Cricetulus griseus: one gene and its partners. The protein of the gene in region 1 interacts with the protein of each later gene in a biochemical or structural test. Links are inferred from orthologs where the notes say so. Each region holds a gene or a part of one and is shown in the gene's direction. Other genes may lie near its edges.

The links. The genes of interacting proteins can lie anywhere in the genome.
Region 2: the proteins of Ap1g1 (region 1) and Synrg form a complex in vitro, tested with the Homo sapiens proteins (2 studies listed by BioGRID). The link is inferred for Cricetulus griseus from reciprocal best matches to the Homo sapiens genes AP1G1 and SYNRG.
Region 3: the proteins of Ap1g1 (region 1) and Clint1 form a complex in vitro, tested with the Homo sapiens proteins (2 studies listed by BioGRID). The link is inferred for Cricetulus griseus from reciprocal best matches to the Homo sapiens genes AP1G1 and CLINT1.

Annotation. Positions count from the first base shown.
Region 1 is NC_048596.1:186,136,531-186,143,140, forward strand, and holds the start of Ap1g1 (AP-1 complex subunit gamma-1), read left to right. Parts: upstream 1-2,604; 5' UTR 2,605-2,791; intron 2,792-2,797; exon of another isoform or gene 2,798-2,941; intron 2,942-6,610. UniProt on the Homo sapiens protein: Subunit of clathrin-associated adaptor protein complex 1 that plays a role in protein sorting in the late-Golgi/trans-Golgi network (TGN) and/or endosomes.
Region 2 is NC_048600.1:97,234,232-97,240,280, forward strand, and holds part of Synrg (synergin gamma), read left to right. Parts: intron 1-1,850; coding exon 1,851-2,153; intron 2,154-3,456; coding exon 3,457-3,690; intron 3,691-4,555; coding exon 4,556-4,633; intron 4,634-6,049. UniProt on the Homo sapiens protein: Plays a role in endocytosis and/or membrane trafficking at the trans-Golgi network (TGN). May act by linking the adapter protein complex AP-1 to other proteins. Component of clathrin-coated vesicles.
Region 3 is NC_048600.1:60,440,914-60,446,962, forward strand, and holds part of Clint1 (clathrin interactor 1), read left to right. Parts: intron 1-2,662; coding exon 2,663-2,840; intron 2,841-6,049. UniProt on the Homo sapiens protein: Binds to membranes enriched in phosphatidylinositol 4,5-bisphosphate (PtdIns(4,5)P2). May have a role in transport via clathrin-coated vesicles from the trans-Golgi network to endosomes. Stimulates clathrin assembly.

The DNA of each region.
Region 1 (6,610 bases):
CGGTACAACAGCCTTAAATGAGTGTTGTGGCAACTCATTCCGCCAATACTTAGTGGGAACTTTTCTAGTATGTAAGAGGCCCAGACTTATGCCCCAGAAATGTAAACAAAACAAAATGACACAACAAAAAATAACAGCTGGAGAGATAGCTCATTTGGTAAAGTGTTTGCCTAGCAGGCATGGGGCCCTTTGGACTATCTCAAGCATTGGATAAACTGTAGAGGCAGCAGGATGGGAGCTCAAGGTCATCTTCAGGTACATAGAGAATTTGGGACTATCCTGGGCTACATGAAACCCTGTTTCAAAAAATATTTTTATGTTACATAAAACTGTAACTTTTTTTTTTGGCCAGGTGTGTTAGAAATGACCTACAATCTTCAGCACTTTGTAAAGAGTGGACACCCTTAAGTTTGAGGCCAGCCTGAGCTACATGAGACTATCACAACTCTCCATAGCCCTGATGCCAGAGGCCAGTAGGGGGCATTTTCTTTTCTTTTCTTTTTTTTTTTTTTTTTGTTTTCTTTTTTCTTTGGGGAGGGGTTTTGAGATAGGGTTTCTCTGTGACTTTGGAGAGGGAACATTTTCCAATAAAGGTTTCTTTTCAAAATGTGCAAAACTTTTTAAAAAAAGATATCATCATTGCAAACACATTTTTTATAATCCTGCCATCCAAAGATAATCATTTTCATATTTTAATTTTGCTCCTCAGTCTTTTTATGTATGCATACAATTTTAAGAGCTCATCTAAAAGATTTAAAATGTTTAGTTATGTATATGCATGTGTGTCTGTGTGAGTGTCTGCCCTGTGCATGGAGGCCAGGAGAAGGTGTCAGACTCTGTGGAGCTGAATATTCCTGACATGGAAGCTAGGATCTGAACTTTGCTTTTCTGCAAGAGCATCAAATACTTTTAACTACTAAAACATCTCTCCAGCATCCCAAATCTTATTTTAATAATATTTTTTGGACATATGTCATATCAGAATAGTAAGGTTACAGCTAGGGTTTTGTTTTATTTTAATCTTTTTGAGATAGGGTCATAGGTAGCCAAAGCTAGCCTCAAACTTTCTATATATATCTCTGATCTTCCTACCTCTACTTCCTAAGTGCTGGGATTTCATTGTATACTGCCACACCATGTTAATGGAGTGGTAATTTAAATAAAGGAAAATATAAGTGAAGAAAATAACAACAGAGAGAGGGTTTAAGTTACTATTTTCCTTTTAGTGTTCAGTATTTCTTACGGGGTGGCCTTTATGAGATAAAATTATTCTGCAGCTGAAGCTAGCCTCCAACTCACGGTCCCTCTGCCTAGCCTCTTACAGGTAGTGCGGCCACCACTGCTGCCTAAAAAGCCCCCCCCCCCTTTTTTTTTTTAAGGAGACAGGGTTTCTCTGTATGGCTTTGGAGCGTGTCCTGGAACTCGCTCTGTAGACCAGGTTGGCCTCGAACTCATAGAGATCCACCTGCCTCTGCCTCCTGAGTGCTGGGATTAAAGGCATGTGCCACCACTGCCCGATAAGTCTTAAGTCTATTTGTAAAACTGGGTTACTTACTTGGATTCAAGAGATTGCTTACAGGGTTGGGTTGTACATATGAAGGTGCCTTATGAACAATGGCATACCAATATTTAATAAAGAAATGTGATCATGCCCTTGGCGTCCTTTCTTTCCAGGCACTTGGCATGCCCCAGAAATACAAGGTCAAAACTGTACCGCTAGGCATACCCAGTTCAACGTCTGTAAAGTATTTTGAAATCCTTGCATAAAAAACGAATGCCTAAGGAAAAAGGTGCAACTTCCTGTTTATGACGCCAATGTCTCGAACCTAGGATTTGTGCTTAGTTCCCTGTCTTTGGCGTTCAGTCTAGTACTGTGTTTTGTTGACACCCGGGACGACTTTGTTGCCAATCTATTGGAAAGATTTTATTCTAGGTAGGTCACCTTTCCTTTAAATGGGCCAAGATATCAAGGATCTCTCGATTCACATGGAAAAGACTTTTGTCACAAGTTAGCAATTATTTATCACGTCCGGAACTGTCTAGCTAGACTTTCTTTGGCTCAGGTCATTAGTTCATTTAATGGTAGATTGGAAGCCAATTTTGGAGGAGTTTTGGCTGTCATTTATCCAGATTCTCTTTTCCCACAGGAGGGAACTGAAAGGTTGGCGAGATTAGGTGACTAAAGCACAGGGGTGGTGATGTGCGTGGAACCCATTCTTCTGCTTCATCTTCTACCTGTTTTCGTAAAATTTTTATGAAGATACAATAAAACCACAGACTCCAAGACCACTTGGAGCATGCTTCTGAAGTTGAACACAAAGCTAAGGACTCAAGGTGACGGGGACGATTTAGGAATTCTTTAGGACTAAATCCTAGTTAAGTGTGCTGCGTTTCCACCTGCCTCTCCCTCAACCTTCTCCAGCTACCTTGCCTAGCCCCGCCCCCTCAGGTGGCCCCACCGTTTCCTGGTAGCACAGCTTCCTTCCCCAACCCTGCTTCCAAGTGGAACCAAAGTGCGCTGACTCTGGGGACCGCCGGATCTTTCTAGTTAAGACTCTTCGCAGCGGTGACTCGGCAGCCGCGTCTAGCGTCATCAGTGACAGCCCCGACCCTTGCTACGCTTTGCGTCGCTCTGCCAGGCGCAGTCGCCTCCTCCTTGGCAAATAGTCCTCGGCAGGGTCCGAGTTTTCGGGTCGTCCGAGGTGGGAAACAGGAGAGGTTGCAGTTCAAGGGGCGCGGAGTTGACGAGGAGAGGGAGCTGAGGAGCGCCGTCTTCTCGAGAGCGCGTGAAGTGAGTTAGAAACTCCCTCCCTTCCCGGGATCCCTCCGCCTGCAGTAGCGGTGGTGAGGCCGAGGGAGCCGCCATTTTGGATGTTCGGTTCCTGCTGCCACTGCTGCCGCCGCCCCCGAAGCTGCTGGTTTCATTCGAGGTTTCGGGCCGGTGAGTGTCACTCGCGGCACTGAGAGCAGGTTGTGTCTTTGGCTCCGCCGCGGCTGCGAGCGTTTGGCTGGAAACCTCCTGTCAGTCCCAGGGGTCCGGTCTCAGCCTGTGGGGGGTGAGGAGGACCCAGGTTGGGCAGGTGGGACCGGGGAGCCCCAAGGCTTGCTCGGACTTACTGAGGGCCGACCGACCCTCAGAGGCTTCTGAGCAGGAGCTTCGGTGCGCGGGCGCTCCCTCTAGTGTGGCGTTGTCCAGCCGGTGCAGGCCTCCTTGAACCCATTGACTTTATCAGGCTGCGAGCCTCCTTTGAAAGCCGGTTCAGGGAACCTCGGATTTAGCGGGGCGGGCCCCACCCCCGCGTGTCCTCTCCGAGTCTCTTATCAGTGTTCTTGTGTCGTGGACTCGGGTCAGATGTGAGAACTCTCAGCATTTCCACATGCAGGGGTAATGCCTGTGCCTGCGATGCCGTCTGCTCAGAACTGGACATCGGCCTCGCCTCCTTCTAACCCTTCGACTAACTTCTGGTCTAAATTTTTCCGCCTCCCCCCCGCCCCTGCTTTTTAAAAACGTACCTGCGACTGCACCTTCTTCTCCAACTCTTGGTTCTGCGGACGTCCGTTTCTAGTAATTCTCCGGATCTTTCTCATTGCCTGGAACTGTGGGTTATGCTTCCCAGTTAGGGCTTGGTGTTGGAGAGCCGTCGAACCACCTAGGGTGTATTTCAGTAGTAAATGGGTTTAAAGCAGGCAGAGAGGCTTTAGGTGGGAAGGAGCTGTCAAAATACTTTCTGGATTTCCTTTCTGCCCTGAACGCTGAGCTTTCAGGCACTTACTGATACATATTTTTTTTTCTTTATTCTTTTGGCGTTGTAAGTGCTTGAGCACGGAAATCTGCCCTTGGAGAATATTAATCTGACGTAGGTAGAAAGGAAAATAACTTTTTTGGTTCCTATAGGGATTAGTTAACAGAAGAGCGAGCTGAATGATCTCTTAGTGACTTCAACCTTCAGGTGTTTGTATAGCAATGATCTTTGCTGACTTCATATGTTGACTTTTCTCAGGGTAGTTGAATTTTAAGCGTCCATTTCCACCGTTGCCTGTAGTATTTGTCAGACTTTATACCTCTTAAGTTTTGATTTGAAACCTGTGGATCCTCGAAGTACTGATAGCCTCATTACTCTAATTCTGTTTTTAATGTCTGTTTGCAATCTATCGTGCTTTAATAAAAAAAAAATTAACAATAATTCACCAGTTATTTCCTACATTTCAGGTTAGGTGAGTGTGGTTGAGTCACCCCTATTTTATCTCAGCCTAGGTTTTTACAACTGCAAAAGAGAAATAACTTATTTGAGTTCACATTTAAGTGACTTAAACCTAAGTTTTTTTATTTGTTTGTTTGTTTTTTGTTTTTTGGTTTTTCGAGACAGGGTTTCTCTGTGTATCTTTGGAGCCTATCCTGGCACTCACTCTGTAGATCAGACTGGCCTCGAACTCACAGAGATCCACCTGCCTCTGCCTCCCGAGTACTGGGATTAAAGGTGTGCGACACCAACGCCCAGCTTAAACCTAAGTTTATAACTTGAACCGAGTCATATCTCTTGGTACTTCTAAAATTTATGTTGGTGCTTTATTTATTTATTTATTTATTGATTGATTGATTGATTGGTTTTTCGAGACAGGGTTTCTCTGTAGCTTTGGAGGCTGTCCTGGCCCTCACTCTATAGACCAGGCTGGCCTCAAAATCACAGAGATCCACCTGCCTCTGCCTCCTGAGTGCTGATACTAAAGGCGTGCACCACTGGCTTGATGCTTTATTTTTAAAATCTTTTGAAGTTTTATTTTATTTATTTACGTATGAGTGCTTTGCCTGCATGTATATATGTGCATCACTTGCATTACCGTTTCGGGTGGAAGAGGGTATTTGGATTTCCTGAAAGTGGAATTTCAGGCAGTTGTGAGCTGCTCTGTGGGTGCTAGAAACTGATTCCATGTCCTCTACAAGAGCAGTACATGCTTTTAGCCTCTGAGCCATCTCTCCAGCCTCTCTTTATTTTTAAGCTTTTGAAGTGAGACTGCAGGTAAATCTTTATAGGTCATACAGTGTCAAAGAAGACACTATTTCCAGTGTAAATATTCTGTGCTCTTGTTACTTGTTTTAAGAAACTCCTTCAGAACTATATTAATTACTGTTAGATGTGAATTCTGTGTTTTGCTTTGAAGTTGTTCAGTTTTCTTTTGCTTTTAAAAGAACTCAGTGTCTTGTACTTTACTTCAGTGATGTCCTGTTTTTGAGTTCCCTTTTTTGAACAGGTATTGAAAGAGCTATCAAAAGTTATTTAACTCAGTAGTATTGTGGTATAACATACTGGGATTTAAATGTCATTCATTCTTTGATGGTTTGCAGTTTACTGGGAGAAAGTACACTTTTGCCAAACAAATATTAGTAAAGTACTGTTCTGTGTATCGTTGATCAGTACATATATAAATTTCTACCTTGTCTTGGCTGTTGAGAATTGCACTAAAAGTTAACATTTGTGTTTAGTAAACTTCCATTTATTTCCTTCCTTCTTCCCTATCCCTCCCCCCCTTGAAACATAATTTTGCTTTTTGCTAAATCGTTCAAGCTGACTTTAAGTTGTGATCCTCCTACTTTATCTGAGTAACAGGGATTAACAGGTCTGTCCATCAGTCTGGCCCAGCATTTGGGCTTTGAGACAGTCTTCCTATGTTGCTCAGGTTGTCCTGGAACTTGGATACTTCTCTTATCTTCTCAATGCTGGGAGTGCAGGTTTTTGTCACTCTAGATTGCTAGCCTAGAATACTTCAGAGTTACAGGTTCTAGTCCACTCTACCTCCCAGAAAGCTAAAACCAAAAAGTTTTAAAACGAACAGGATACACAGCAGATAAAAACCCAAGTAGTTTTGAATGAATCATTAAACATTCTTTATGCAAAGTTAAAAGGCCAAATGATTCTTCCAACAGTTTTGTTTGTTTGTTGTTTATTTGTTTTTCAAGACAGGGTTTCTCTGTGTAGCTTTGGAGCCTCTCCTGGAACTCACTCTATAGACCAGGCTGACCTTGAAGTCACAAAGATGCACCTGCTTCTGCCTCCCCAGTACTGGGAATAAAGGTGTGCACCACCACCCAGCACCAGGTTTTTTGTTTGTTTGTTTTGTTTTTTAATTTAAACAGTTGAATTGGAATTCACCTGTCAAAACATCTCAAAATACTTAATCCTGCCAGTGAGTTCCAATACAGCCAGGACTACCCAGAGAAACCCTGTCTCAGACAACAACAACAAAACACAAAAGCTTAATTTCTTTTATTTGTATTTGATAGGGACATAAAATTTTGTGTATGTAATAGTATATAACTGATCAAAACTTGCTTTTGCAGAGCCAGGCAAATCTTTTGTGTTTGAGGCCAGCCTGATCAACAGAGTAAGCTCCAGGACAGCCAGGACTACACAGAGAAACCCTGTCTTGAAATACCAACCAGCCAAAAAAACAAAAAACAAAAAACCCCCAAAACTTGAAAACTCTTAAGTTTAACTGAAGAGAACGTAAATATAAAGCCTTTATGGGTGCTGGAGAGATGACTAACTGGTTAAGAACACTGGCTGCTCTTCCAGAGGTTCAAGGTTAGGTTCCCAGCACCCACAAGGAGACT
Region 2 (6,049 bases), on another chromosome or scaffold:
TTCTTGAGGCCGAAGTAGGAGGCTCTCTGTGTTTGAAGCCAGTCTGGTCTGCCAGGAGAGACCCTGACTTAACAAAAGAAAAAAGGAAGTCTGTTGACTCAAAGAAATGTAGTGAGTTTACTAGTCTATCTTCTTTATTATGAATGTGTATTCTTATGAGCTAGGCCAGGTTTCGTTGTTCATATGACAAAATTTAGAAATTCCCAAAATGTCCCATTTTTAAATAGTCATGGCTATAATACTGCTTAGGAAAGCTCAGTTTCTTCAGTAAATTTCTTTGTAGTTTTTAATCATGAGGTAATCAAATAAAATTGCCTTTTAGAGAAGCAGGGTAAAGAAGAGGGTGGGTTTTTTATGTTTTGTTGTCATTTTAAATACTTAGTAATTGAAATTGTTTGCAAAATGTTTTCTCATCTCTTTGAAATTAAATATTTTCACATTTTGTTATCAGCTAATTTAAATAATATTATACTATTAATGGACAAACCATTTTTATAAATCATTCATCAAATCAAAAAGTACTATATTCTGCTAGAAAATACATCAAATTTTATCTTAAATCCTTGTGCCTTAGTATCTCTTATAAGTTAGAATCAGGAAAAAAAAATTAAGGTGTGCGCCACCACCACCTGGCCAATTCCTTTTTTTAAGTATTTATTTTTATTTATGTGTGTCTGTGTGTTGTATCCACCAAGGGCACCCTGCCTGGAGTTACAAGATGTTGTGAAACTGATATGGGTGCCAGGAACCATACTCCAGGTCCTCTGGAAGAGCATTAAGTGCTCTTAACCACTGAGCCATCTCTCCAGCCTGTTATTAATTCTTGATCCTGTTTATTTCACTGATTAGATTATGTACCTTGATTCCTATTACCAAAATCATGCCCAAAGTAAAGTATACACTAAAATTGGAAGGAGAATAGATACTATCAATCGTTTTGAGATAAGGAAAAGTATATCTAGAACTGAAATTATGTATAAGCCATACAAGCTAGTGATGAAGTGATTCAGGCAGTGTGGTGACATAGCCCTGTAAACTCAGCACCAGGAGGCTAAGGTAGAGGAGCTGTGAGCTTGAGGCTAGCCTAGAGTACATACATAGCAAGTTCTAGGTCAACACAAGATATATAGCTGAGCCTGTCAGCATACAAACATTGAAAGTTAGGGCAAAAACTGGACCTGGCACCGAATATAGAAAAGGCAGAGAGCAGTGGCCATTGTTAGGTCCCACATTGTGTTCATATAGAGTTCTGTTGTTAGCACAGATCTGTGGCCAGCATTCAGCAGCAAGTAAGTAATCAACTGTGTTGTGTTGTTCAGATCTCTGTTCATATATGTTTGTTTGTTTGTTTGTTTGTTTGTTTAGTAAGATTGTCTAGGCCAAATGTAGTGGCACACGCCTTTAATCCCAGCACTTGGGAGGCCAAGGCAGGTCAATCTCTGTTAGTTTGAGGCCAGCCTGGTCTACAGAGCAAGTTCCATAGTAGACAGACTCTGTCTCAAAAAATAAACATATAGACAAATAAAAGAGATATTATCAGACAGACCACTTGGATTTCAGAAATAATTACCACTTTGATACACACTTAGTACTACCTAATAAAATGAAAAAAGGAAATGTAAGTTAATTTTGTCTGTTCTTCAACCAAATATAAAATAGCTCTAGAATTTATTTTTAGAACAAAACAGACATCGAGGTGTTCCAGGAGCACTCTGGTTCCATTGACTGTTGTTCTCACTCACCTCCACTGTTCATATTTCAGTATGTTCTGAGGGTTGTGTTACATCTGGATTTCTTTCTCTCTTCGGTTTTCATTCCTGTGTGTTTCATTGCCATTTTCCATTTTGCAGATTGTCCCACATCATCTCATTCTACTAAAACTGTCTCCCCATCACCTGCCTTTCTTGACGAAGACGAATTCAGTGATTTTATGCAGGGACCTGTTGAGGTTCCCACTTGTGGGCCCCCTTCCACGGCCGGTCCCTTTCAGTCTTTCCTCCCCACAACCCCACTCGGCCAGTTGCACACACAGAAGGCTGGAGCACAGCCTCTCCCTCCAGGTCAGGTTCCAGTGTCTTTTGCCTTACATGGTGGCCCTGGGCAAATTCCTTGTTTCTCTGCTGCTTCAGCTTCACACAGTGTGCAAAAAGCAGGTAACTCTAGTGTTATTATCGAAGTGTTAAGATATTGTAGGATAATTTATTTCTCTTATTTATGTAGAATTATACAGTGCTATTGGCAAAGAAACGTGGTATGTTATTTGTGAGAACCATCAACAGCTACCAATGCTAGGCTAGATGAAGTTTTTGCATCTTCATTTGCTAGAAAGTGATTTAAAACCTTTTGCTGTTGTGTTAGAAACAGGTGAAACCACCAGAAAACTTTAAAAGCAAACTGACTTCTTAAGATTATGCTTTTGCTTGGGAAAAAAAGAATCACTGATATAGTGTTAAAATAATGCTATAGAGAGAACGCCATTAAAAAGTAATCTTTCAGGGCCAATGAGATGGCTCAGAAGGTAATGTGCTTGCCACCAAGCCTGATGACCTGAGTTTATCCCCAGAACTCACACTCTGGAAGGGGAGAAGTGACTCCTATAAGTTCTCACTTTCACATATGCACCAACATACACACACAAAGAGAAATAAATCACACCCTTTTAAAGTGTGATATCTTAGCCAGCTATGGTATACACATCTGTAATTCATTCCTTGAGTCATGGAGGCAGAAAAATCAGGAGTTCGAGCTACATAGTTCAAGGCAGCCTGGGCTACACAAGACCCTGTTTCAAAATGGAAGGAAAAAAAAGGAAGGAAGGGAGGAAGGGCAGAAGAAAGGAAGAAAGGAAGAGAAAGAAAAAGAAAAGAAGGACTCCATCTAAGAAGGATGTGGTGACCGTGTCTGTAATTCCAGTACTAGGCAGACAGAGGTATCAGACCTGCTCAGGTTTGAGGCCAGCCTTCTGCAGTGACATGTTTTATCCTTGGACAAGTCTTTAAACATTTCTGTACTTCCATTTTAATCATTTGTGAAATCATGGGGCAGGCACAGTCTATCTCAAGACAGAGTGTGCTGGGAAGTGTCCTGGGAGACCTGTTTGTAGTCTTTAAGACTTCGTCATTTGACAGATGTGGAAAACAGGCCAGTCAGGTCTCCCACTAGTTAGACACTGTCTGTGTCTGGGAGCTTGCCGAATTCCCACAGCATGCCCCCCCTCACTGCATGGGTCTACCTCCTGTGGCATGGAATCCCTGAGAACCAAGTAGGGTAATTATGTTGAGTTCCCCCAAACCTCTGAAGTCTCTCAAATCCTACACCAATGGTAACAATTGAATTACTATATAATTCCATGCTCTGTGGGAGTTTTTCCCCTGAGAACATGAGGGTGGGAAGGGATGGTGACAAGATTGGGATATGTAAGTCATACACAAGTAATCCTTCATGCTGTTTGTTTAGGCCCTTCCTTGGAAGAGAAGCTCCTAGTATCTTGTGATTTAAGTACATCTGGGCAGGAACAAATTAAATTAAACACTCCTGAAGTTGGGCAAAAAGCCATAGTCCCAGGTTCCAGTAAGAACTGCCCCAGTTTAATGGCCCGTAACGGGGGTGCCGTAGATGGATGTGTAAGTGGTCTCACCACTGCAGAGGCAGAAAAGACTTCAGACCAAAACCTGCCGAATGGAGAGAGTGGTGAGCTCCTGCAACATTCAGCACAAACTTTGTTTAACCAACTGCCGCTCAGCCGCTAACACTTGAGCATTAATCTTAAAATGGATGCTGCTTGATTGTGCTAATTCAGATTTTGCTTAAAAACATTTATGCAGTCTTTTCTCCAATTAACCTCTAAGATTTTGCTCTGAATTCTTTGAACAACTGTATTACTCCTCTTCAAATGATTTTGATAAGCCTGTTTCCTAATCGGAATCACTCCTAATCTAAAATTTCCTCTCATTTGACAACAGTTCCCTTCTGGTTCATCTCATGCTCTCTGGTTTTTGGTAAAAGTTAAACAGTTTATCTGTAACTGAAAAAGTCACCAATGAAAATGCAGTCTTTCTGTCTGAGCTAAATTGTCTGTGCTGTGACCTAAAAGATCCAGATTCACACACTCGGCCCACAGCACTGGAGAAAGTCAAGCAGGTCTTTGAGCTGCAGTGGACTGTACACTCAGTAGCCACATGGCCATAGGTCCTGTTCTCAAAACACAAAAGCTAAATCCATATTTTAACTGGAGATGAAGCAGGATATGGGCAACCCTGGAGACAAACCCAAGGGGGATATTTTACACACGTAATTTTAAGCCACTGTCTATTGTGTTTTCCCCATAACTTGTCAAACACATTAAATGGTGCATGCCCCCGGTGACTCCGATTATTGATTTGGTACCTAATACTCTCTCTTTATGTTTTAATTCATAGTGACTGCACAAGAGTTGCTGGAAACCAAGTGCTTATATTATGTTGGTGACTTTTCTAGTGACTGCAGCTAGTGCTCCTCTTTGTAAAAAACAGTGGCTTTTCTCTTCTCCAGATCATTAACCATCCTTACCTTCTAGGGGTGGCCGTGTTTCCCTCTCAGGATCCTGTTCAGCCCAGAATGCCTCCTTGGATTTACAATGAGAGTTTGGTTCCAGGTAAAGTAAAGATGCTTTGCCCAGCATTCCCCTCTTAGATATGTTACTTTAAATATTATAGAAGTATTTCTAAATATTTACTGTCATGGTTACAAAATATGCAGAAGGAATTGTTACTTATATTTTTTTTCCTGTGGAGTATAGAAAACTAAATAAACTTCATGTGGGCTGGGCATGGTTATGCAAGCCTTTACTCTCAGCTCTTAGCAGGCAGGGGCAGGTGGCTCTCTGTGAGTTCCAGGACAGCCAGGACTACACAGTGAGACCCTGTCTCAAAAAAAAAAAAAAAAACAGGAGAGAGAGAGAGAGACTACTTTATTGAGAGTGGCAAGGTGGCTAATGGGGCAAAGGCCAAGCAATTAGAGTTATTGTGTCTTAAATGATTATATGATCAGATACTTGTTTCAAAGACTATTAATAACCTATCAAGAATCACGCTATTGGGGCTGAAGTGATTTGATGGCTCAGTGGTTAAGAACTTGGCTGCTCTTCCAGAAGACCTGGGTTCAAGTCCTAGAACCCACATAATGACTCACAACCACATTCCAGTTCCAGGGCACCAGACACCATCTTCTGGCTTCTGCAAGCACCAAGCACACATGTAGTACACAGATTTACATGCAGGCGAAACACATACAAATTTTAAAAATATCTTTTTTAAAGAATCACACTAGTATGTTTAAGACTTTCTCAATTTATATGGATTGTAAGTGTATTTTTTTCTGATGGTCTTATGAAACTATATAAAATGAAAGATTGGGTAGCATCGTTTTCTACATTGGAAAGTAGAGTGAGTTTGTTTGTTTTTTTCATGTGTAGTTTTATTGCTGAGCTGAAGAAATGGCTAAAATGAATTGTGTGGTAGTCCTTAGTGGATACCAGACAGTGGTATGTTTAAGCCATGATCAATAAACACAGAAACAGCGGTCCTCTCATCAGCAGATGCTGTGGTTAGTAAGTCACAGCTGCTTGGTTTGCTGCTCAGCGCCTTGCAAGCTGGAGGTGATGTCCGCTAGCTCATCAGTGCTCAAGGGTGGTACAAAGTTATTCTCCACTTGAGTAAATCAACCTTGATGCAAGATCTCTACAGGAGAATTTCTTTCTGGAAGGAACTGGTAATATCTACTTTTTATTGTGATCATACAACCATAAATCAAAAACTAGATATTCTCCCAAACCTACAGAAACTAGCTCTTAGTGTATTTTTTTTTAGTTCTGTCCATTTTCTGATAGTTTGCAGATAGTTTCCATACACATGCGTGCATCCTTTCCCAGTCAAGTCTGTGGAAGTCAGAGGACAACTTATGGGAATAGGTCCTCTCCTTCCACCTTGTGTGTTCCAAGAATTGAACTCAGGTCATCAGGTGCCTTTCCCCACTGAGTCAGATGCCAACTAAATTAAAGCAATTTGACTTT
Region 3 (6,049 bases), on another chromosome or scaffold:
TACACAATGTATAACCCAGGAAAAGATGGCGGACTATATTGTCACCTCTTCTTGTATGTCTGCTGTTGCTTTCTTTGTTGTTCATAACACAGTGGAGAGGAATTGGAAGCCAGGTGTGATAGTGCACACCTGTAACCTTAGCACTTGTGAGGCCAAAGCAGGACAGTGAGTTTGAGAGTAGTCCTGGCCAGTTTGAGACTAGTCAAGACCCAGTTTCTGTCTGTCCACCTCTCCCTCTCAGAAGGCAGCTTGAACATTTGTTTCTAATGTTTATTCTTCATGTAAAAATAGTACATTGGGTGCTTGAAACATAGACGTTCTTTTGGGTAGCATGTGTCTTAGGCCTGTCCTGTCTTCTGTGAGCTGTGACAGTGCCTGGCCAGTGTGTGAACGTGCAGGCCAGTGCTGTATGTACCCTTAGCATTTGCTCAATGAGGCTCTCCAGCTCCTGCACCTCTGTCTGACTTTGCTTACATTTGGATCTGTTGAGGTTGTGGATATGGGTAAAAAGAAACTTCTTGTTGCCAGGCATAGTGATGTACACTAGAGGCAGGCAGATCTCTGAGTTTGAAGCCAGCCTGGTTGACATGGAGTTCCATGCCAGCCAGGGACATAGTGGTGAACCTTGTCTCAAAAATAATAAAATGTATCATTTTGTGATTTCCTATAAAATATTTTCACTCTTCTGTTCCTTTGCTTGCCTGCTTTCAGAGAAAAAAACAATACTGCATTTAGTTATTATTAAAAGTTGTTTCTAACAGCAAAAATAGTCTTACCTCATATATCACACAAAGCCAGCGCATGAATCGATGGAATGTATGTCTCTTCTAGTAAGCACTGAAGTCTTGGAGTCATTATCTTCTCTGAAATAATGAAAAGGCTCTGGATTTGTCCAGGTAGTCCTTTTGTTCCTTGGCTTTTTCTGTATCGCTGAATTGCCATTTTCAGCTTACTTCCTCCTTCTATGTGTTTGCGTCCCATTTTGTTACCAGCACAGTGTGTAATTGTAGCTGATGAATTTAGAAAGTTGAGTGAGTTTGCAGACAGGGTCACAGTGGGCTAGCCTGTGTTTGCATTAACAGTCTTTGTTTCTTATTAATGGTTTTTGGATTTCTCAACAGCTTTAACTGTTTTGTGCGGTTTTACTTATGACATCAGGTGATGACCTTCATCCATTCATTCTGCAGCATATGGATTTAAACACAGGCTTCATGAGATCTGAACCTTCTCTCAGAACTGTGTTCCCAGCTCTTTTTACATGTATTTTAAAATCTTTAAACTCTTGGTGAAATCTAGCCTTGAGGTTCTAACAGGCAGTTCAGCAGCGTATGTTTAAGAACTTTTCCAAATAGCACCTATACCCTCACAGCATGTAAAAACAAGGGTTCTGAGTAGAAGTTCCCTTTTGCTGTCCTGTTTTCCATTGCCCTTTCTTATGCTTCCTAACCTGCCTCTGTTCATACCATTTCTGTTCTTCAAACCTCATATGATATCTCTCTATCCCAGTTTTGCTTTTTTCTATTTGTGTCCGTAATTCCCATCTCTTCATTGAGCTCCAGACAAGCACCAGTGCAGATCATGGTATCGCTGTGGTCCTTTACTCACTCCAGAGGTTCTCCATGTGTGTCTCCAGCCACTCTGATGGGTCCTCATTAGCTCAGAGCTGCTGGACATGCTTGTAGTTCTAAAGTGTGTAGGTTTGAAAAGTTAGAATTCTTTTTATGGAAATTACAGATTTCTTTCCCAGGCCTTAAAATCCATTCGGTTATTGTGTTTCTAGGATCTATTGTGTTTCAACTAATTGGGTCACAGAAGTCAAACTCAAGGTTGTCCTTTAAGGGAAATAAGTGTTTTTAGAGTAGATTGGTTGGTTGCCCAGTTAAGATTTCCTTTCTTCTGTCTGTCTGTCTTTCCTCTTTCATCTGTTTTTGAGAGGATATCTCGCTGTGTTGTAGTTCACTGGATGGCCTTGAACACTTGGTCTCATGATCACTCAGCTTTTAATCTGTAGCAGTCTGGAGTACAGCTTCTTGCCTCCATGTCTCGATAGTTTGCTTTGCATATGTGTGCTCACTCTTCCAGCCTTGTTCTCTTCTCCCTGTCCCTTCAAGTCTCAGCACCCTCCCCACCCCCTTCCTTGCCTTTCTTAGTTGTTTGTTGGAAGCAAGTTCTGTTGTGCTGTGGCCTGAGTCATCCTAGAACTTGCACTCCCTTTGCTCCGTCTCCTGAATATCGGGATTACAGACTTGTGCTATAACACCTAGCTTTACTTTCTATTCTTTTAAGATATTGTTGTTAGCTTCATAAAATTAAGCACCATTGAGATGAGAATAAAATGTGATTCGTTTAATGACTTGAAAACTAGAACGCTTTTCCTTCATCTTGTGTTCATGGAATGTGTATTTTGTGTTTCCGCTCCTTCTCTACAGTAGGGTTCAGGGTGTCATCAAGTTTGTGACATTCTCATGAAGAAAAGCTTTGAATCTGCGTTCCTGACAAGATGATTGGCATGAGCTGCACCATGCAGTGTGCATGTGGCTCTGTGGGAGATTTCTGTTTTCTCTTAAAAGTAATGTTTTATGAGAAAGTCTTCAGAAGGAAGGACTGTGGCTCCCTCCAAGTTTAATATCCTTAGTTGTTTCTTTCTTTCTTGTTTACACAGATGAAAGATATGATCCTGAGCCCAAGTCCAAGTGGGATGAAGAGTGGGATAAAAACAAGAGTGCTTTTCCATTCAGTGACAAGTTAGGGGAGCTGAGCGATAAGATCGGAAGCACAATCGACGACACCATCAGCAAGTTTCGGAGGAAAGACCGGGAGGACTCTCCGGAAAGGTGCAGGTGTGCCACTTCTCTGCTGCTGCCTTGAGGGGTGTCGGCTTTCTGCAGCTGTTTGGTTTGGGTTTGTCTGGTTTTGAGATATTGATGTTATCTGAAGTTTAGCTTTTTGTTTTTTAGCAGACTTTGTTAGAGGAGTCTTAAGGACACAGGAAACTTGCTTATAAAGTACAGAAGGCTGTTACATAACCTTTGTCCTTCCCCCAAGTTTCAAGATTGTGTTAATTTGGTAACATTTGTTAACTGATAAGCCAGTATTGATGTGCAGTTTGGCACATGTGGGATATTCTCCAGTAATGTCTTACAGAGTGATGTCAACTCCCTGGAAATGCCCTGTGCAAAACAAATGGGGAATCATTCATAAAGCTGCTAGTCAGCCCCACACCAAAACCATCTCTCATGACACTGGGTCAGATAGAAGTGCTCTTAGTGTTAACACTTCTTCCACCCTGTCCACACTTGCCTGTTTCTATAGTGATTCATCTGTCTTCTGCATTTTTCTTCAGGTATCTTAGTCTTGTCCTGAAGTTTTTTATCTCTGATAAAATTTTTATTCACCATTTTAAATTTGGGACATCAGATGATTCCATTGTCTAAAATAATGTAGGGGAAATGATGATGCCTACGCACTAAGTTTTAGAGAAAGTTAAGAGCTGAAATTTAACTACCTGAGACATTGCATTACCATCCCATGCCCATATGACCAGAAGAGTCCTGTGCAGTTGGCATCTAGAATTGTAGTACAGGCCTGTATTTATACACATTATTTTCTGATGTAGGTGATTATGTTGAACTTATATCAAACAAGAGAAGTAAAACAAGAGGTCCATTCAGATTGTGTGGACCTGTGTAAAATTAGTTTTTTGGGTTTTTTGTTTTTTGTTTTTTTTTTAAACTAAATAGCATCTTTTTCCTACCCATAGATTCATAATAGTTTGGTTTTAGGGTATCATAGAAATGAAATTCAAATAAAAAACATAATCTGATTTTTAAAATAGGCTTTTAAACACCCATTTTTAGTGTATTTTCAGTGCCATTCCAGAGTCATTAAATCTCTAGAATGCCCTTTTCAAGAGTTATAGGAACATGGTCTTTGAAGGGACAGAGTTTATGTCAGTAATGGGAGCCTGTCTGCCTGCATGTTTTAGTTTTGAACACTGAACTTTGGGAAACAGTGTTTGAGTACTCTCCTGGCTTCCCTAAATGTTTTAGACACAGATTCGTATGGCCTGTGTGTAAAAGGTTTTGCTCTCACTTGAAAAACGTAGCAGCTGAGTGTTTCATTGCTATTTCTGGAGTTGAGTAAGGTAGGATCTTAGTGATAGAGTGGTGTGTAGTCCCACACTATATTTCTTTCCTCCTTCTGCCCTCCCATCCTTGGGGATGCTTCTCTGCCTTGGTCTCTGCTCTTTATTTTTTTTTTAATTAATTTATTTATTTATTTTGCCTCCCATGTTTGCCGGAGTGGTTTTGGCCAGGGTGGTGCTATCATTGGTTGTTCTTCCTTACATTCCCACTGAGGCAGGGTGGGCTGAGTTCCTTTGATCCACCGTATTCAGGTTTAAAGGTCTAAACTATATTCAAATACCAGTTAGACACGTGTGCATGTTGCAGTTCAGAGTATTGATGAGAAAACAGTATATTTTAGACAGAGTTGTATGTGACCAGAGTCTTGTCTGTTAATTCATTATTGGAGTCAGGAGTTCTTGAATGTTCAAAGTATTATCTTGCATTGAAATACAATTAGATGTCAAACATCAGTTTTACTTACAAGGTTATTGATACAATCGTGAGGTCATTTTGTTGTTGTTTGCTTTATTTGTAATTATCAGAACTTGTATGTTCCTTAGAATCCCTCTGTTTAAAAGGATATTTAACTCTTGTGCTTTGTGTGGGAAACCATTCTTTCCCTCCCCCCACCCCCATGGGAGTGCACAGAGTACAGGTCAGAAGACCACTTGTAGAGTTGATTCTCTTGCTCTCCCTTTGTTCGGGGCTTTATCTCCAGCCTTCTTGTCAGCCCATGTGCTGTATTTAAGTTGAGATTGCTTTACATTACAGTTACATTTCATCAGTATAGTCCTAGTTTGAGGGAGAAATCCAAGCATTTTGCTCCAGGATACTTATAAACTAAACTGCCCTCTCTACAATTATGTAATATAGGTAATGGAACATATTTCATGTTCTCATGGTGCTCGCTCTCTTCCTTCCTCCTGCTTGCAGCCAAACAGAAACCCAATGGCTTGATATTCTAGTAGTCTCTTCATTCCCAACATACGAAAATCCTGGTTTCCTGCTTTCTAGGGGGTTTGCTTTTGTGGGGGTTTTGATTGGTTGACTTGCAGTGTTAACATGAGTAAAATACTTGTTTGGAAATATTTTAAATACAGCTAAGTTTCTAACAGTTGACAGTTAGGTAATGTGTGATGTGACAGAGTAGCAAAATGAAGCTCAGTTACAAAAAAGATTGCTTCATATTTGTATTGGTTTTCAGGTGATGGTTGACAAGGCATAGAGTTTTAAGCTGACCATTGAAATTTCACTGTTTCCTTCTCTCTGAAGCAATCTTTGGTCGCTCAGGCTGGCCTTAAGCTCATTGTAGAGCCATGACCTTAGGCTCCTGCCATTCCATCCAGGTGTTAGGGTTACCAGGGTGCACCCCATGCCTCACCTTAGTTACTCTTTGTTACATTTCCTGCATGAAAATCACTAACAGAGTTCTTAAGATGGACCTGTAAAAGCTTGGTATGGCATCACAGCCTCTGACCTCTCGGGATGTGGAAGCAGGAGGATAAGGAGTCATCTTTGGCTAGATAGTGAGCTAGAGATCATTTAAGACTATATGGCATTCTTGTCTTTTAAGAAAGTTGGTAATAATGTTTAAGAAAAAGAGAAGAAATGAAATTATAGACATTGTACAGTATATTTTGAGATTGTGAATATTCCTGTGATACCGAGTTCCAACAGCTGGTTCTGACATCATGCTGCTATTTTATCTAATGGTTAAGTTTTAAATCTGTAACAAACACTAAGGTAGTTCAGTCATTCTTTTGCTCAGGCAAAAATACAGGGATGTTTTAAGACTTAACTAGGAAATTGTGCACGTTCCCTCTTCCCCTCCCTAATACATACACATCATTATTCAGCAGCCTAAATAACTTTGTGTTGATCCTGTCAAACAGTCGAAGTGTGGAACTTTGGAATTAGTGCAT